Oreochromis niloticus: one gene and its partner. The protein of the gene in region 1 interacts with the protein of each later gene in a pairwise test. Links are inferred from orthologs where the notes say so. Each region holds a gene or a part of one and is shown on either strand. Other genes may lie near its edges.

Evidence for each region.
Region 2: the proteins of xpo7 (region 1) and uso1 interact in binary tests that used the Homo sapiens proteins (3 or more experiments, as listed by UniProt). The two-hybrid records come from large-scale screens. The link is inferred for Oreochromis niloticus from reciprocal best matches to the Homo sapiens genes XPO7 and USO1.

Annotation. Positions count from the first base shown.
Region 1 is NC_031972.2:37,386,587-37,394,625, forward strand, and holds the start of xpo7 (exportin-7), read right to left. Parts: upstream 3,157-8,039; 5' UTR 3,067-3,156; coding exon 3,034-3,066; intron 2,120-3,033; exon of another isoform or gene 21-2,119; intron 1-20.
Region 2 is NC_031971.2:17,313,490-17,321,146, reverse strand, and holds the start of uso1 (general vesicular transport factor p115), read right to left. Parts: upstream 3,093-7,657; 5' UTR 2,905-3,092; coding exon 2,839-2,904; intron 1,204-2,838; coding exon 1,117-1,203; intron 542-1,116; coding exon 477-541; intron 397-476; coding exon 320-396; intron 20-319; coding exon 8-19; intron 1-7. UniProt on the Homo sapiens protein: General vesicular transport factor required for intercisternal transport in the Golgi stack; it is required for transcytotic fusion and/or subsequent binding of the vesicles to the target membrane.

The DNA of each region.
Region 1 (8,039 bases):
ATCCACCTGGAAACACACAGCGTCCCGTGGAGGCACCATAGAGGTCGGGTGTGATCCTGACAGGATCGCAGGTGTAAGGATGGAGGAGATCTGACCCCCGGCGCTCCCTCAGAGACCAGAGACAGGCTGGCAGATTTGGTCATTTGGGAGGAGCTCGTAGCACAGACGCTGCTCCTCCAGCTGAGGAGGTGCAGCACCTGACTAGAATGCGTCCCACAGAGAGAGGTGGGGAGTCTCTGCTTAGACCCAGGTAAGCATCAGAAAACAGAGATCATAAATAATAACCTCACAGGAATAGGCTCAGTCTAAACCTGAGAGCAGATTTTTTATTTATTAACGCGTTTTATATTCTATAAACTCCTCACGGCTCTGCAGGCTCGAGCTACAAAGGCCCATGTGTGCAGAAACATAATAAACATAATGGAGGGATATCCTGTGAAACCTCCCGAATCATTAAATATTCAGGAGGTGATTTTTGGTCTGAAGCTTATCTCCATAAACAGAGAACCTGTGGGAGGCGTCAGGGAGCAGACGGCTGATCAGCTATTATCTAAAGATTACCAGATGGACATTTAATCATCATTAGCAGGAGTCCTGAACATCAGAGGAGCACGGCTGTCAATACAGACCACCCCTTTTTATTCAAATAAACACACAGGTGTGTGAAAAACAGACGATTCAGGGCCTGAAATGTCTGAAGAAAAATCCTCTCCATCATCATCTGCTGTCACTACACAAACATTAGAAACTGTTTTATGGAGCTAAAGAGCGAAAATCTCTTTCCCTGCTGTGCAGTGACTCCAGCCTGAGGAACGTGCGTGAGGAACACCAGCGTAAACGTTGGACTTCAACGTGAACTTTTTAGACTCAGGCAGGTCACTCTGACCTCATGGCCGCATGGCGTTGGCCTTCGACACGCCACATCACATCATCTTTGGATGACAGCTCATAACAGATAAACTGACTAAAGTTAGTGTTTGATCACAGGAATGAAGGTGTTTGGGCTCTAACATGAGATGATCTTTTAAAAATTACACATTAATGTTATTTTATTACAGTGAGGAAAGTGAACAACCCTCCATCAGAACAAGGCAGCTACATGATCATCAGTCTGGAGACAAACGGCTGAGTAAAATAAACAGCACACAGTGGAAACGGGCAGTAAATATCAGCCTGATCTTTATTCCACCAAAAACTGTCTCAGTAACACCAGAAAGAACTTAAGTGGTTCGTTTTCAGTCATTTAAAATCATTAAAAATACTTAAAGTCTGCTTTCTGTTAGATTTCACCTAAAAATACTTAAAAACAAGGATCTGGGCTTATTGTGTGCCAGAATCACAGAAATTCAACTTAATCCAGCTACGAGAACTGCCCGACGTGAGGCCCTTCTCTTACTTTACCCAAACATTATTAATTATGAATTTATGAGCTACATCCAGCTCAGTGGTACCAGTATAACCATTACATAAGTGAAGACTTTCACCTGGATTATCAGACACTTTATGGCACTCACAGGATCATAAACCTGGGAGTAGGTGATGAAGTAAGTGTCATTTCCAGGGAAAAAAAGCTTTAAAAACTTTATTTGAGGTTAAATCTGCTAACTTAAAACTGTTTTTATAAAGTTTGCTGTTTTCATGACTTTGAATTTATAGTTAATCTGTATAATCATAAAAATAACTGCTAGAATAATTTATATTATCATTTTTATCACTAATAAATATTTTCTCCCCAGTACTCTGACCAGAGCTGAGACTGAAAAACCTGAAATCATCGTCACAAGTTTACCCAGAATCCCTCAGAAACTCACCGGAACGTTTGGTTACCTGGTAAATTATTTAAATATTAATGAAATCAGGCTGAGATGTTCCACTTTGACCACATTCAGTGAATCTGTGACCCACCTGAGTTCGTACCACCCTTCCTGGGATTAAAGCTGATCACAGATAAACTGATTAAAGTTACTCTAAAGCAGAAACAATAACGACCTGTTACAGCCTCTAACATGAGAGGACCGGATGAGTTTCTCCTCATAGTTCATGCATGCTGTGCGCAATTAACAATATATTATGTCATGTCACACACAGCTCATGTGACCAGCAGAGAAAACGAAAGCTGGCTTCACCTGTCCCTCAGCACAAAGTCTCCACAGTCTCCTCACTGAGTTCCCTGCAGGGACATCATGGAGGAAGCCCACAGCAGCTGAACTTCATCCCTCTCCTCCTTCGGCTTCCCAAACATGTGCCGGAGCACAGCGGCTTGGCTAGCTGCCGCTCTAGGCTGCCCACACCAGGGTGAAACCCCCGCTGTCCTCACCCTGGAGCCCCTCGCGGGTCCGGCCCGGTACCGTCGCCCTGTTTCACCGACTAACGCTCACACAGACCAGGTCATGTTTTCAAACACGCTCGGGCGGGAGAAGTTGACGTGTGGAGATGCTAACGTTAGCCTAGCCTGCTGCATGGCTGGGTGTCGTTACCGGAGCGAGCTGTGAATAAAAACACAAAAACCTGGAACTCCGGGACAGAAGCTCCGGGTACCGGGCCCGGTCCGTCGGTCCGGCCGGGATAAACGTGTTTACGGCGGTTCCCGGTGGCGCCAGGTGACCGTGCGTGCTAGCCTGGCAGCTATCCGTCTACAGCTAACCGCCTGTTTCATTGTTTACTTCACTGAAATACACCGACTTTTCCCGCCGCTCGCCCTCCGGTTACCCGCCTCTGACGGCCACGGACGCCGGAGCTCACCGGTCTGGACACTCGGAGCCCGCAGACTCCCTTGTTCGCCCCGGAGCCCGATCCCTCCCCTGGCTGCTAACAGCGGCTAGCCTCCAGCCCGTGCTGTGACAGCAGGCCACAAGTCAACACAGGCGGCCGCATCCTTTCTTTCTCCCCGCTAGCTCCACCGCGGCCGCCGCCCGCAAGCACCGGCTGCACGCCGGCTCCGTGCCGGGAGCGGCGCACTCGGATCCGGCCTCAGCTTCAGCTGCGCCCGCCTACAGAAATTATCCGCGACAAAAACATGAAACCTCCACTTACCTGCACATGATCCGCCATTTTTCTCCATTTCATGCACCTCTCACTCCCCCGCTTATGGGTAACCAAAGTGACAACAGCGCCCCCGCTGGTGGCCGCTGGCAGGACTCCAGCAGCACGATGCAACACAATGAAACACAATGGAACGCAATTTAATATAACACAATACAATTTAATACAGTTAAATACAACATAAAACAATTTAATACAACACAATGTAATTTAACAATGCAAATAGATCAATAAACTATACATCTCATTAATACAGTGCTGTAAGACAATATGTTACAATACAACACAATGTAATGCACTACAACACATTGGAATCAAATACATAGAGATATGAATGCATAATAACATGTAACAAAGATAAGTTAGGCATACAATAAGAGTTTGTTTAGTGACAGACATTTAAAAAACTCGTTAGAAAACCTTTCTTTTTATAAACTTCTGACTTTTTAAATTAATTTAACTGTCATATTATTATTATTATTATTATTATTATTATTAGTAGTAGTAGTAGTAGTAGTACTATAAGTTTTTGAACTGACATTTTTAAAGATGCTTATAGATAGATGGACTAAATGGACAAATGTAATGTAACATCCTATCATATAGTAACACATCAGAAAACAGTGTTATAACCTATGATTTATTAAATTGAATATTTTATTTGTATTTTTAAAGTTATTTTGTGTTTATTTATTGCACTTGCGATTTTTATATTATTACTAATTATTTGGTTACTCCATATCCAGACTTCAATGCCAGTGACGACAGTGCAATTCTTCGGCGTGCCATTGAAAGTAAAGGAATGAATGAGGATGTGATCATTGCAGTCCTTAGCGCCTTGAGGCAACTGTTGTGATTTGGCGCTATATAAATAAAATTGAATTGAATTGAATTATTTATATTTACATTTATAATTATATTTTGCTTGATTGTATTTGGGATTGTTTAATTTCAGGTGAGTTTTGACCTCATTAGCCTATTTCTTTGGTCATATTATATCTAAGCCCTTGTTGTATTTTTGTTGCTGTTTGAATGAATGTCCTAAACGCTGGATTATTAAAATATTTCTGTTGTTGAGTCATAATCTTAAACACCACAGTGCATGTAGTCCAATGAAGCACAATGTCATCTAATACGATAACATGTTTGAGTATAAAACTGGAAGGTGTGTTGTGGGTACCGCAGTCCCCCCTGGTGGATGTTAGTGGATCTACACAGGTAAGCCCAAAAGTAATCAGAAAGGAATACATTCATATTTTTTCATTTATTTAAATTTGTAATTTTTGAGTGATAGCACCATCACCTCACAGCAAGAAGGTCGTGGGTTTAAATCCATCGGCTGCCTGGGTTCTTTCCGTTTGTATGTTCTCCCCGTGCACAGTCCAAAGACCTGCTCGTTAGGTGAACTACTGATCTGGAATCTGCTGTAGGTGTGAATGACTGTCTGTGTTATTCCTGCCATATACTGGTGACCTGTCCAGGATGCACCCACCTCTCGCCCAGTGAGAGCTGGGATAGGCTTCAGCACCCCAGCACCCCAGAACTGGGTAAATGGATGGGTGGATGTCATCTTTATGATATTTCTATTTAAATAAATAGATATGTTTATAAACAACAGGTTTTATGTGCCTCTGTGATCACAGTGTGATCTCCACATTTGCAGACAGATGTGCAGCTCCTCAAAGAATGAGCTTTGAATGAACCTGACTTTCATGTTGTTCTGTAATCATCATCATGCACTCAGAGCCAGTCTGTGTTTAATATGCAGACTAACAAAGACTGCAGCGGTCAGGTGCCACACACACTTTTTTCTTAGAATAAAAGTCACATTTAAACATATTTTACGTTTGAAATGTTGGATCTTTTCCCCTTAAATTCTGAATTTTGTGTTTTCTCTTCAGGCAAAAAAAGAAAGAAAAAAGGTTTGATTTGGGCTGGTTTTCTAATTTTTTTTCCTCTCTCTGTTATTTCCGGTTTTTATTTGGTCACAGTCATGTTGTTATTGTAAATTGTTATGTTGCTGTTGTAAATAAAGGTTTGAAGGTTAAAAAAAAGAGGCAGGTTTGATAACGATGATAAACGTCTTCTGCAGTGGCTGAGACAATACTGTAGTTTCAGGTCTGACCGCCAGAGGGCAGAATACTGCCAGCACTCTGACAGAGGATCAAAACTTTCTATGCGGACTTTCAAAATAAAATCAGCAGCGTAAACAGCTACCACGAGAGAAGTTTTACTAAAAGTAGAAACATGGCAGGAGCAAATAACTGTTTCTGAGTCAAAGAATGTGTAACGTTTGATATTTGCTGATGAATTTCAAGTGTTTGGTTTGATCAAATAAATATTAATCAGAGTTAGAGTTATGAAAAAAAAAAAAATCCATCACACCAACCATCTGCATGGGGTCCTTCATTACATCCATGAACCTCGTCTGAGGTCTTCCTCTTCTCCTCCCAGCTGGCAGCTCCATCCATCCCCTGAACATGTGCAAACCATTTTTTAAATGACAGCTCAGCCTTCACCGCCTTACAATGCTGTGATTGCAGCCTTTCCTCAACTCTCTGTTTATTATTTAGACTAAATCATCAGAACATGGAAACATAATCATCACATCAAAATGATGTCATTGGAAGAATGTGTTACGGTTTGCGGGGCAAGCCGTGTGAATTATTAAAGTACCTAAGATGCAGGTAGCTTCTGAAGTGAGCAAGCTTTATTGCGACGGTGAGATAACAAACAAAGGAAAGGGCGGCGAGAAACAGAACTAGAAATACTCTATACTGGGAGAACTAAAACTTAAACAACAAAACCTGAACACAAGTGAAAGCAACTGGCAGGGAGAATTCACAGGATGACGGCAAGCGATACACAGACCAGAAAACACTAAATAACGCAGACAAACCAGCAATGCACACCAGAAAACACAGGGCTTAAATACACACATGGCAATCAGGGAATGGGAAACAGGAGGAAAACACGGCTGGGAGTAACTGGACATAACGAGACAAGGGGAAGCGAAACCAGAAACACTAACGAGAGACGCAGACCTACAAAATAAAACAGGAACTCACACATGCAAAGACAGACTAAAAGCGACCCTTCACCATCTTAGCAGCGTATGTAAACTTAACAACATCCACTGCATACTGCTGGACCCTCTTCAGCTCAGCCTCAAACAGCTTCTTCTTCATGAGTTTCCTGAGTGTCTCCTCCAGCTGAGCCACAGCTCTCACCACAGTCCCCTCATATGATGGTGGACGGACGCTGACCTCTGTCCAGTCTGTGGCGGGTGGAGCAGCTTTCAGGGACAAGAAGCTTTGGAGTAGGTGGAGGTGGTCTTCGGAGTGTGAGAGCTGCTCCACCTCAGATCTTCTCTTCATCAGCTCAGAGATTTCCTGTTCCAGATCTTTGATGAGACCTTCAGCCTGGTTCTCTGTAGTTTCCTGTTTGTCTTCGATCTCCTTTATGAGCTCCTTCAGGCCTCTATCAACAGACTCCTTCAGAGCAGTGAAGACCTGAACACCTTCTGCTTTCTGTCTGTCTGCAGCACATTTACTCATCTTCACTGACTCTTTGATCTGCTGAATCTTCAATCGTCTCTTCTGGATCATCTGCTAAATTTCAGCCTCTGTCTTCTCCAGCTCTGCCTTCTTTCCTTCATATTCTTCTCTCAGAGGAACAAACTCGTGGTTCTTGTGGTCTGAAACAGAGCAGAGCACGCAGACACATGTCTCGTTGGTCTTACAGAACAGCTCCAGAGGTTTATCGTGCTTCTTACACATCCTGCCCTCCAGGTTCTCCAAAGCATCAATCAGCTGATATCTTTTCAGGCCTTTCTTTGTCAGATGAGGCTCCAGGTGAGTCTGACAGTAGGACTCCTGACACACCAGGCAGGACTTCAGTGCCTTCAGTCTGGTTCCAGTGCAGATGTCACAGGGAACTTCTCCTGGTTTGGCAGCTTGTTGCTCTGAGCTGCTACTGCTGGCTTTCTGCTGAACTTCACGTCTAAACTCAGCGACCACCTCAAAGAGCAATGTGTTGACCCTCAGCTGAGGTCTAATGTAGAAAGTCTCTTTACACATGGGACACTGACACATGACATTCATGTCCCAGTGCTGAGTGATGCAGTTTTTGCAGAAGTTGTGTCCACATGGTATACTGACTGGATCAGTGAACACATCCAGACAGATGCAGCACAGAAACTGATTATCGGATCGTAGATTGCTGACAGCAGACATGTCTGCACTCTGAGGTTGAATGATTTTTATTTAAAATTCAGTTTCAATTTCATTTTTAAAAAGAAAGAAAAAAGTGTCAGTGTTGTACTCTTTACAAAAATCATTGGCAGATTTTCAACTTTCTGATGGTTCTTGAACAATGTGTGATGGACGTTTTGTTCCCAGAAAAACAAATCAGAACCTAAAAATGTGACATTTTTAAAATCAGGTTATTCAGAATGTCTTATGTCAGAATTGTCCAAAAATAAACCTTTTACACCAAGAAACTCTGCTTTGCTTTTATTTTGAAAGAGCTATAGAAACGATGTAAGAGTAGGAAGTGATGTACAAACAGTAATTTTTTAGAATGATCAATATTGACATAAAATACAAATTGAGTATTTATGTAGTTGATAAAATTTACAATGTAAAGCAATAAAATCAAATAAAGAGGAAAACAAACAATGAAACATTCAGGAGAGGTACATGTCAGATATTTCAAAGTAAATCTTTAAAGGTATTAAAATGACTTTGAGTCTTGATGGCTTACAGATTTGTCAAACCTTTCAAAGTTCCCAGGTAGGTTTTCAGTTCAGCCTTGAATTGATGTGCGTTGGGTTTTTTATTAGACATTTATGAACGTTTTACAAATAGAATCAAAAAGTTTAAAATAAAACATTTTGAGAGAAGCCAATTGAGTCTAATAACAGATAACAGGAGGAGGAAGCTGCAGAGAGGCATGTTAGACTGCAACTCTGCTTCCTGGTTCCAACTCTGGATAGT
Region 2 (7,657 bases), on another chromosome or scaffold:
GTTTTACCTTCTGATTCATCTGTAGGTTAAAACATGGAAGAGAAGAGAGAGACGAGAGTCTTTACATAAAGCAGTCATCATCAGTGTATAGAAGAAGGGAATGCAAACTGACAGCTTTCCATGTTTAACATGAACTGAACTCATTTACACATGCAAAACAAACATGGGTTTAAAGTCAGTTCAAACCATTTACAGAAGCCTCACAATAAGGAGGAATTCATTTCAATATAGTTAAAAACATCTTTAGATCAGAGTTTAGATCTTCCAGTTATGAATTCAAGTTAAATTACATATTTTTTAAGGATGTGGGGTGTAATACCTTGTTCTTCCTCCTCATCATTGCAGATGACGTTGTAGAGCGTATCCAAAGCATAGCCGAGGATTTCAGAGTCTGATCTATTGTATTTGGGAGACAAACATTAGCATGTTTACTGAGCTGTAATCCACAAGCATTACAAGTATGAGTATTAACGTACCTGTCAGTCTGTAGTATGTTAATCAAGTGATCCATTGCCTGTGTTCCAACTTCCATTCGATATTTCTAGAAAACATTTAAAAAATGCTCATAGGATTGGTAATGCAACCAGAACCTAAAATAAAGGAATTTTAGTCAATATGAAAAGTTAGAAACATTCTGGATTTCTGTGGCATACAGGAAACCTGCACATCTATCTGTGTGGCAGACCAGGACTGACACCCACGTGTGTTAACGTGAAACCCTGTGCTTCTTAAACCCCTTATTCAAGCCTGATAAACTCATTACTCATGGTTGACAGTGCAGCTAATGGCAAAACTGTCCATGAACAGAAGTGACTTGGTGGAGGTCAGAGATGAGTTCATTTTAATCAGTAGAATGTGACAAACAAGAGCTTTATCCAAGGCTACTGACAGCACATTTATCGCAGAGAGACAAAGCAGAAGATATGTGCAGACTGCTTTATGTACATGATGTTAGTGCAGTGATTTCAACTCAAAGTTTCACAGCTCTTCTCTTAAATAATTTCAATAAAACCTTCAAGAAATTACAATTTTTCAAGGCAAGTTAGAATCCATATAACTAGCAACTGACTGCATACAGCTGCAGGCCCTTTTAGTGAGTCTCTACTTGTACTTTACCTTGGAGAGGGACTTAAGAGCACGGACAGCATCTCTCCGATCTTCTAGGAGCGTGGAGGAGGCAACTCGATCGCACAGCTTCTGGATCTGTTAATGGACATATTATTTTTTAATTATTATTGCAATGCTTGCTGATAATTTCTGTAATTTTATGTCTCTGAAATTGAGAGAATTTTTGGAATGTTTTAAAGAGCTGTGGTTTCTAAGCCCCAATGGTTCTGTGGTGGAGTTGTGAGGAGAAGCAAAAAATCCCAAAACAAAATACTGTACATAACTACATTTAGCACACACAGACAGCTGACAAATTAAAGGAAAAAACACTAGTATTTCTGAACCCTTTCAAGTTTTGAAATCTTTTATTTTAATCCAACACCATCTGACAGCTTGTGTCTTAATGTGCACCTTGGTCACTTCAGTAAGATTTACATATCACTTATGAAAAGGCGCAAGTGTGAATGCACGATATCTCCTGTATCTCAAGTTGCTTAGCTCTTATTACTAAGATGATGAGTCAACACATGTTTAATGCAAACTGCCATGAAATCAAAGTCGGCTGTGACAGTGTGACAAAGTGTCTAAGTTGTCTGTCTAAAATGAGATCTGGCTGACTGCAAAGGCCACAGAAAATGACTTGCATCACTCTAATACTCAAACCATTCAGCAATCCTTCATGTCACCCTGGAAGAGACTACTCCCATCATGGGATGAAGGTGACAACTTTGTATTGATTTGCAGAGACAAAGGGGACAAGTCGACCCAGCCAAAAAAAAAAAAAAAAAAAAGGCCCACCAGATGCACTTATTGTAGTGTGGTTTACTGCTTTCATTTTCATACAGGTCCTATTCCAAAAGCAAAAGCAAAACGCGGCTGGAATCGCAGGTCTAAAAAATGCACATTTTCCTGGAAAACTGATAAGTTTTACTGCAGGATGGGACAAGAATATGTCGACAAGTCAACAGTAAATTAATTTAACACCTCCGATCCCAGAAAGAGCAGTAACAAGGTGGAAAAAAAAAAAATTTCACAAGGTTTCTGTTCAAGTGTTTTGTGCATTCTCAGGAGTGACAGCTTCCTCCCTGAGCAGTCACTATACAAAGATCTGATTATATGTGGCTGTCTGCTGCAATGTCAGCAATGTGTCAGGAGATTCCTGCATGGAACACTATGCATGGCTGTCTGGAGTATCTGGCTGAAGTACAGCCAGATATTCAGTTATTTATTTGTGCTTTAAACCAATTGATTAGCAGGCAATCAGTACTAAAGATAATAGTCCGCTGCCGCCCTACGTACACGACAAGGTCCATTTTTATGTTATACACTAGCTCATTTTACGAGATCACCCCAATATGTTCAGTAGATTTGCAGATTAAACTTAATCAAAACAAAACTCTGACGTGTAAACAGCTGACAGTCCTAACGGGCTGGTTCTTGGTGTCCGTGTCTTTCATGGATTTCTCCATTCATTGTGGCTGCACAGCAGGTTACACACACTCCCACTGCTGCCTGACAGATTAGCCACGTTAGCTCATTAGCCCTCTAACTAGCTCGCTGCCAGCCATTCGCCAAGTGAAATGTATCTTCACACATTCTCTTAAGTGTTTGTATGTGACGAAGCAAAAAATAACGGGCTTAAAAACACAACTCTATCCCCCTGTTCTCAGTTTGTACGGCGCACAGCGGAGAAACGTTAGCTAGCCGCTGCTAGCCCAGCTGCTTTCCTACCGTCTCCGCTCCGGACGGCTGCGGCCCGGCTGCCTGCCCACTTATCACTCCTCTGAAGAAGTTCATCTCGGTGCCGTATTCAGAGCCTCTCTTTCTTCACAAAACACCCCTCTGCCGCCTCTCACTGTGCTCAGTATAATAGACACGTAAGAGAGTACACAATGATATATTTTTTACACTGTGTACACTGACCTACCCCGGAACACTAACGTTTGGGCACTGCGCATGCTCGCAAACGTGGCGATACGTGGCTCAGCAGCAGAAGACCCAGCCGGTTATTTAAAGGGCAAGAAAACTAATGATTATGCTCTGTGATAGGCAATGCAGCAATAAAATAAACAATTATCAATTAAATCTATCATTAGAGGGTTAAAGTTTTTAACTCTCACACACTGTTCAAGTAAAATTTAACCTGTTCGACTGGAGTAAAATGTGTCATTTAGTGGCAAAAAACACAAAGAATACAAATATCTCTAAAATTTATACTGTTGTACAGGAGCTACAATCCTTTATACACTGAGTTTGTTCTGAATTAAATTTGATCTGTAACTATCCAGGTGGATTTTAGATCATTGCATTGATTTTAGATCAGTGGGCATCAAATCAAGAGAAATTATTGATTTCTCAACAATTGTAACAATACAACTGTAAACTTGAAACTGTAAACTGTTGTTTCTGTGTATATAGTAGCCATTATGTATGATGCACATAAGGAAAAGAGGTCATACAGAGGTCAGAGGGTGCCTTGACAGATACAAGACGTGTATTATGGCAGCATGGCAGAGTGGTTAGCACTACTTCCTCACAGCGAGTTCCTGCTTCAAATCCTGGCTGGGGTCTGTCTTTATGGAGTTGACATGTTTCACCTTCTCCAAAGTACAACGGTCCAAAAACAAACACATGTTAGGTTAACTGGTGATCAAGGAAGTATTAATACTGAATTAATATATACAATTATAAATGGTAGTTAGGAGGATTTTTTTTTTAATTACACAGAAGTGGGTGTAATAAATACCAACAGTTTCAGTGTTAGTAATATTTCCACTTTCAGTTTATTATACTTGAATGAGCACGAGGTGAAAGCTGTCCATTGTTAAAACCTCTGCCTATAATATACAAAAATATATATACAAAAACTGGCAACCTCTTATGCATTTTTTATGTATTAATTCTTAATTAGTTTACAAGAACCCATAAATTTTTAATTGTGAATACAATATTCTGTTACCTCAAAAACATCACTTACTGTACCTTTAATTGATTATTAGCCTGCAGACAGACATAAGCACACAGCAGCCTTTTTTATTGTGTAAGTGGTAATTCTAATGGTGTAATTCAGGGTTGGATCAGCGCATACAAACAACCCAAACTTCCTAGTCAGCGTGCAGTGATTTAACAAAGTGAAAACTGTTTGGGCGTGTGCACTTTATGACTGATTCATAACTTTGTTACCTACTTTGGAGAATTTTACTATTTCAGATTATAATTGCTGTCATATGTCTAACTCAATCCGAGGGAAATCAAATTGTCACACATAAATGTGCGAACCTCAGGAAAGGCATTCAGGAAAGGACGGTTGGGCACTTGAACCTGTACAGTCTAATGCATTTTATTAACAAATTTTTTTTTGTATGCTTTTAATTTTGAAATATAACTAATAGGTATGGTATAACTGTCAAATACACACCTAAACAATCCTTAAGCAGAGTGACTAAGTTTATATGTGTAGGTACTTACAGAAAACAGCAGGTAAACAGCAAAGTTTACAGAAACACACTCAGAGGAAGCACACACCAAAGTAAAATAAAGTGAAACCAGAAACCAGATCTACTCGATTTTAACCTGCGTGTAACCCCAGAGCTGGATTAACCTGCCAGGGGACTTTGGACCCAAAGAAAAAATGGTGTTTTTCTCATGGAACATTATATAGATCCAGATCTGCTGAGTGGTGTGTGATCTGGATGAGAATAAAGAGGGGGAAAAAATCTACAAGAACGCTGAGATAAGCACAACAACGTTCATTCAATTATCTGTAAACATCTACACATGGATGTCTAGCTGCTTCTGGCTCACCATGAAGAGCCGGAGAGACAACATTCAGAGAATAAGTAAACTTTCATGCCACCAAACATCATTTCCCAACAAACACAACAGCACACTTTTGCCTGTTTAAATAAAGAATTACCTTTTTATTTTCCTACAGCAATGAAAACTGTTTCTGTAACTGTGTCTTCAGTGCCCTTAACCCCCATCTACCATCTGCTCTGATGGCTGGGTTCATTGTTACTGATCGTGTCCTTTATTATGTGTGAATCTTGATTTGCATAAATCTTGTTTCTAAAGCCCTGCGCACAGCTGCTTCCACACAGCACAGACAAGAAAAGCACCACAAACCGATTCAAATGCACCCAGTCATAAAAGTAATTCAGTGTCTTTAATAAACTTATGTTGAAATTAGTGAAGCAATCCAGTACAATAATATAAAAGCAGTAGAGTTTCATCATTGCACATCAGAGCCATGACACAAATGACAAAGCAAAAGCAACATGTGGTCCTCTAGTGTCTTTTAAAAGCTTCACAGAGAGAAGCCTGGACACATTTTCTGTCAGCTATGGGAACGACAACATCTGCATCTTCAGAGGTTTACTAATCTACAAAAAAATGAACTTATATATTTTAAATATGGCTCTATAAATTCTGGAAACATTACAGAATGATGTTCCTTAATGTAAAACTGCAAAGACCTGGAATATCTCATCGTCTAGAGTACACAATGTCATAAAAAGATTTTAAGAATCTGGAGAAATCTCTGTACACAAGGGACACGGCTGAAAATCAGTCAATCGGGATCAAAATAGGGAATCATTGCATGGGCTCAGGAACACTTCCAGACATTAACCGAAGTTAAAAAAAAAAAAAAAAAAAAACCCCAAAACAAAACGAAACATGGATGCCACATTCTCCAGACTCGGTTAAAAATCATACATCTCTAATTGTATGGAGGTGCTTTAGTTCCCATGAGATTAGCAGCACCATCAGTGCTGAAACGTATATACAGGACTTCAACATAACCTCTTATCCAGATGACCTATTTGTCAGGGAAGGCCTTGAGTATTTCAGTAAAATGATACTAAACCTCATACTGCAGCATCTAATACATCTAATATAACAGCATGGTTTTGTCCACAAGTTTCATTGTACAATGACAATAACAGGTTATTTAAAAAAAGTAACTGAAGACATTTCTATACAAACAAGCTTTTAATTAATTTTTTTTAATTGTTTCACATTATTATTTTATGTATCTTTCTGGTTTTATTGTGAAGCACTTTGTGATTTTTATCAGTGAAAAGTGCTATATACATAAATTTTACTCACTTACTATTCTATTCTATTCTATACCAGTAGAGGAGTCTGGGTGGCGAAGAGGCTTGCCAGCAGTCCAGATCTTTCACCAACTGAAAACATTTGGAGCATTCCTTATTCCTTAAAAATTAAATTCCTTAAAAAAAAATAAAGGAGCCTTGTACTGCTCCTCAGTGGAGAGCGTGCTCTCCTACTGCCTGGGTGTTTGGTACGCAGGCTCCACCTCTGACAACAGGAAGGCTGTGAACAAGGTAATTATCAACGCCCAAGAAATCACTGGCTCCTGTCTCAGGAAAACCAGGGTCATTACTTGCACCCTGCCCACCACCAGTTTGACCCACTGCCCTCTGGTCGACCTCCAGGGTCACTAACAGCTTTTTCCGATGGGCCATTCGGACCGCTAACAAACACTGTACCCCTACACCACACCTTACCAATCTGAGCCACGGTCTCATCAGGTCACTCACAAACAGACTCTGCTGAGACCAAGTCTTTTTTTTCTTTGCACTACTCTCAAGCACTTTGCTCTCCACTGTGTGCTTTTCTCTTATTTTGTATATATTCCTCTAGACTGTATATACACATTATTTACATTATTTCATTTCATAGTTACTTTTGTACTTCAGCTGCTCGAAGCACTGCCCCTGTCAGATAGGCCCAAGGTGCTTACAACATTCCTCAGAAATTCTGGTCCATGTTGGCATGACGGCATCAAACAACTGATGCAGAGATGATTTGAAATTTTTCATGACCCATTAACCTGCCGGAAATGGGCATCAGAAGATGGGTACACCGTGGTCATAAAAAGATGGACTCGGGTAGGCTGTGGCATTTAAACAATGCTCAGTTGGTAGTAAGAGGCTCAAAGTGTGCCGAAAAATAACCTGAACACTATTAACCACCACCAGCAGCGTGAACCATTGATACAAGGCAGGATGGATCCATGCTTTATGTTGTTTACGCCAAACCCTGAACCTACCACCTAAATATCAGAGTACAAATCGAAATTAATCAGACTGGGCAATATTTTTTTAACATCTTCTGTTGTCCAATTTTAGTTCCTGTTCTTAGATAACAGGACTGGCACCCAGTCTGGTCTTCTGCTGCTGTAGCCCATCTGCCTCAAGGTTCGACATGTGTTCACAGATGCTTTTCTGCACACATTTGTTTTAATGAGTGGTTATTTGACTAACTGTTGTTCCTATCAGCTCAAAGAAGTCTGACCATTCTACTCTGACGTCTGGTATCAACAAAGTATTTTCACCCAGAGAACTGCTGCTCACTGGATATTTTTCTCTTTATTGGCCCATTGTCTGTAAACCCTGGAGGTGGTTGTAGTTGTAGATGAACTGTTTCTGAAATACTCAAACCAGACCGTCTGGCACCAACAACCATGCCACGTTCAAAGTCACCTTTCTTCCTCATTCTGATGTTTGGTTTGAGCATCAGGTCG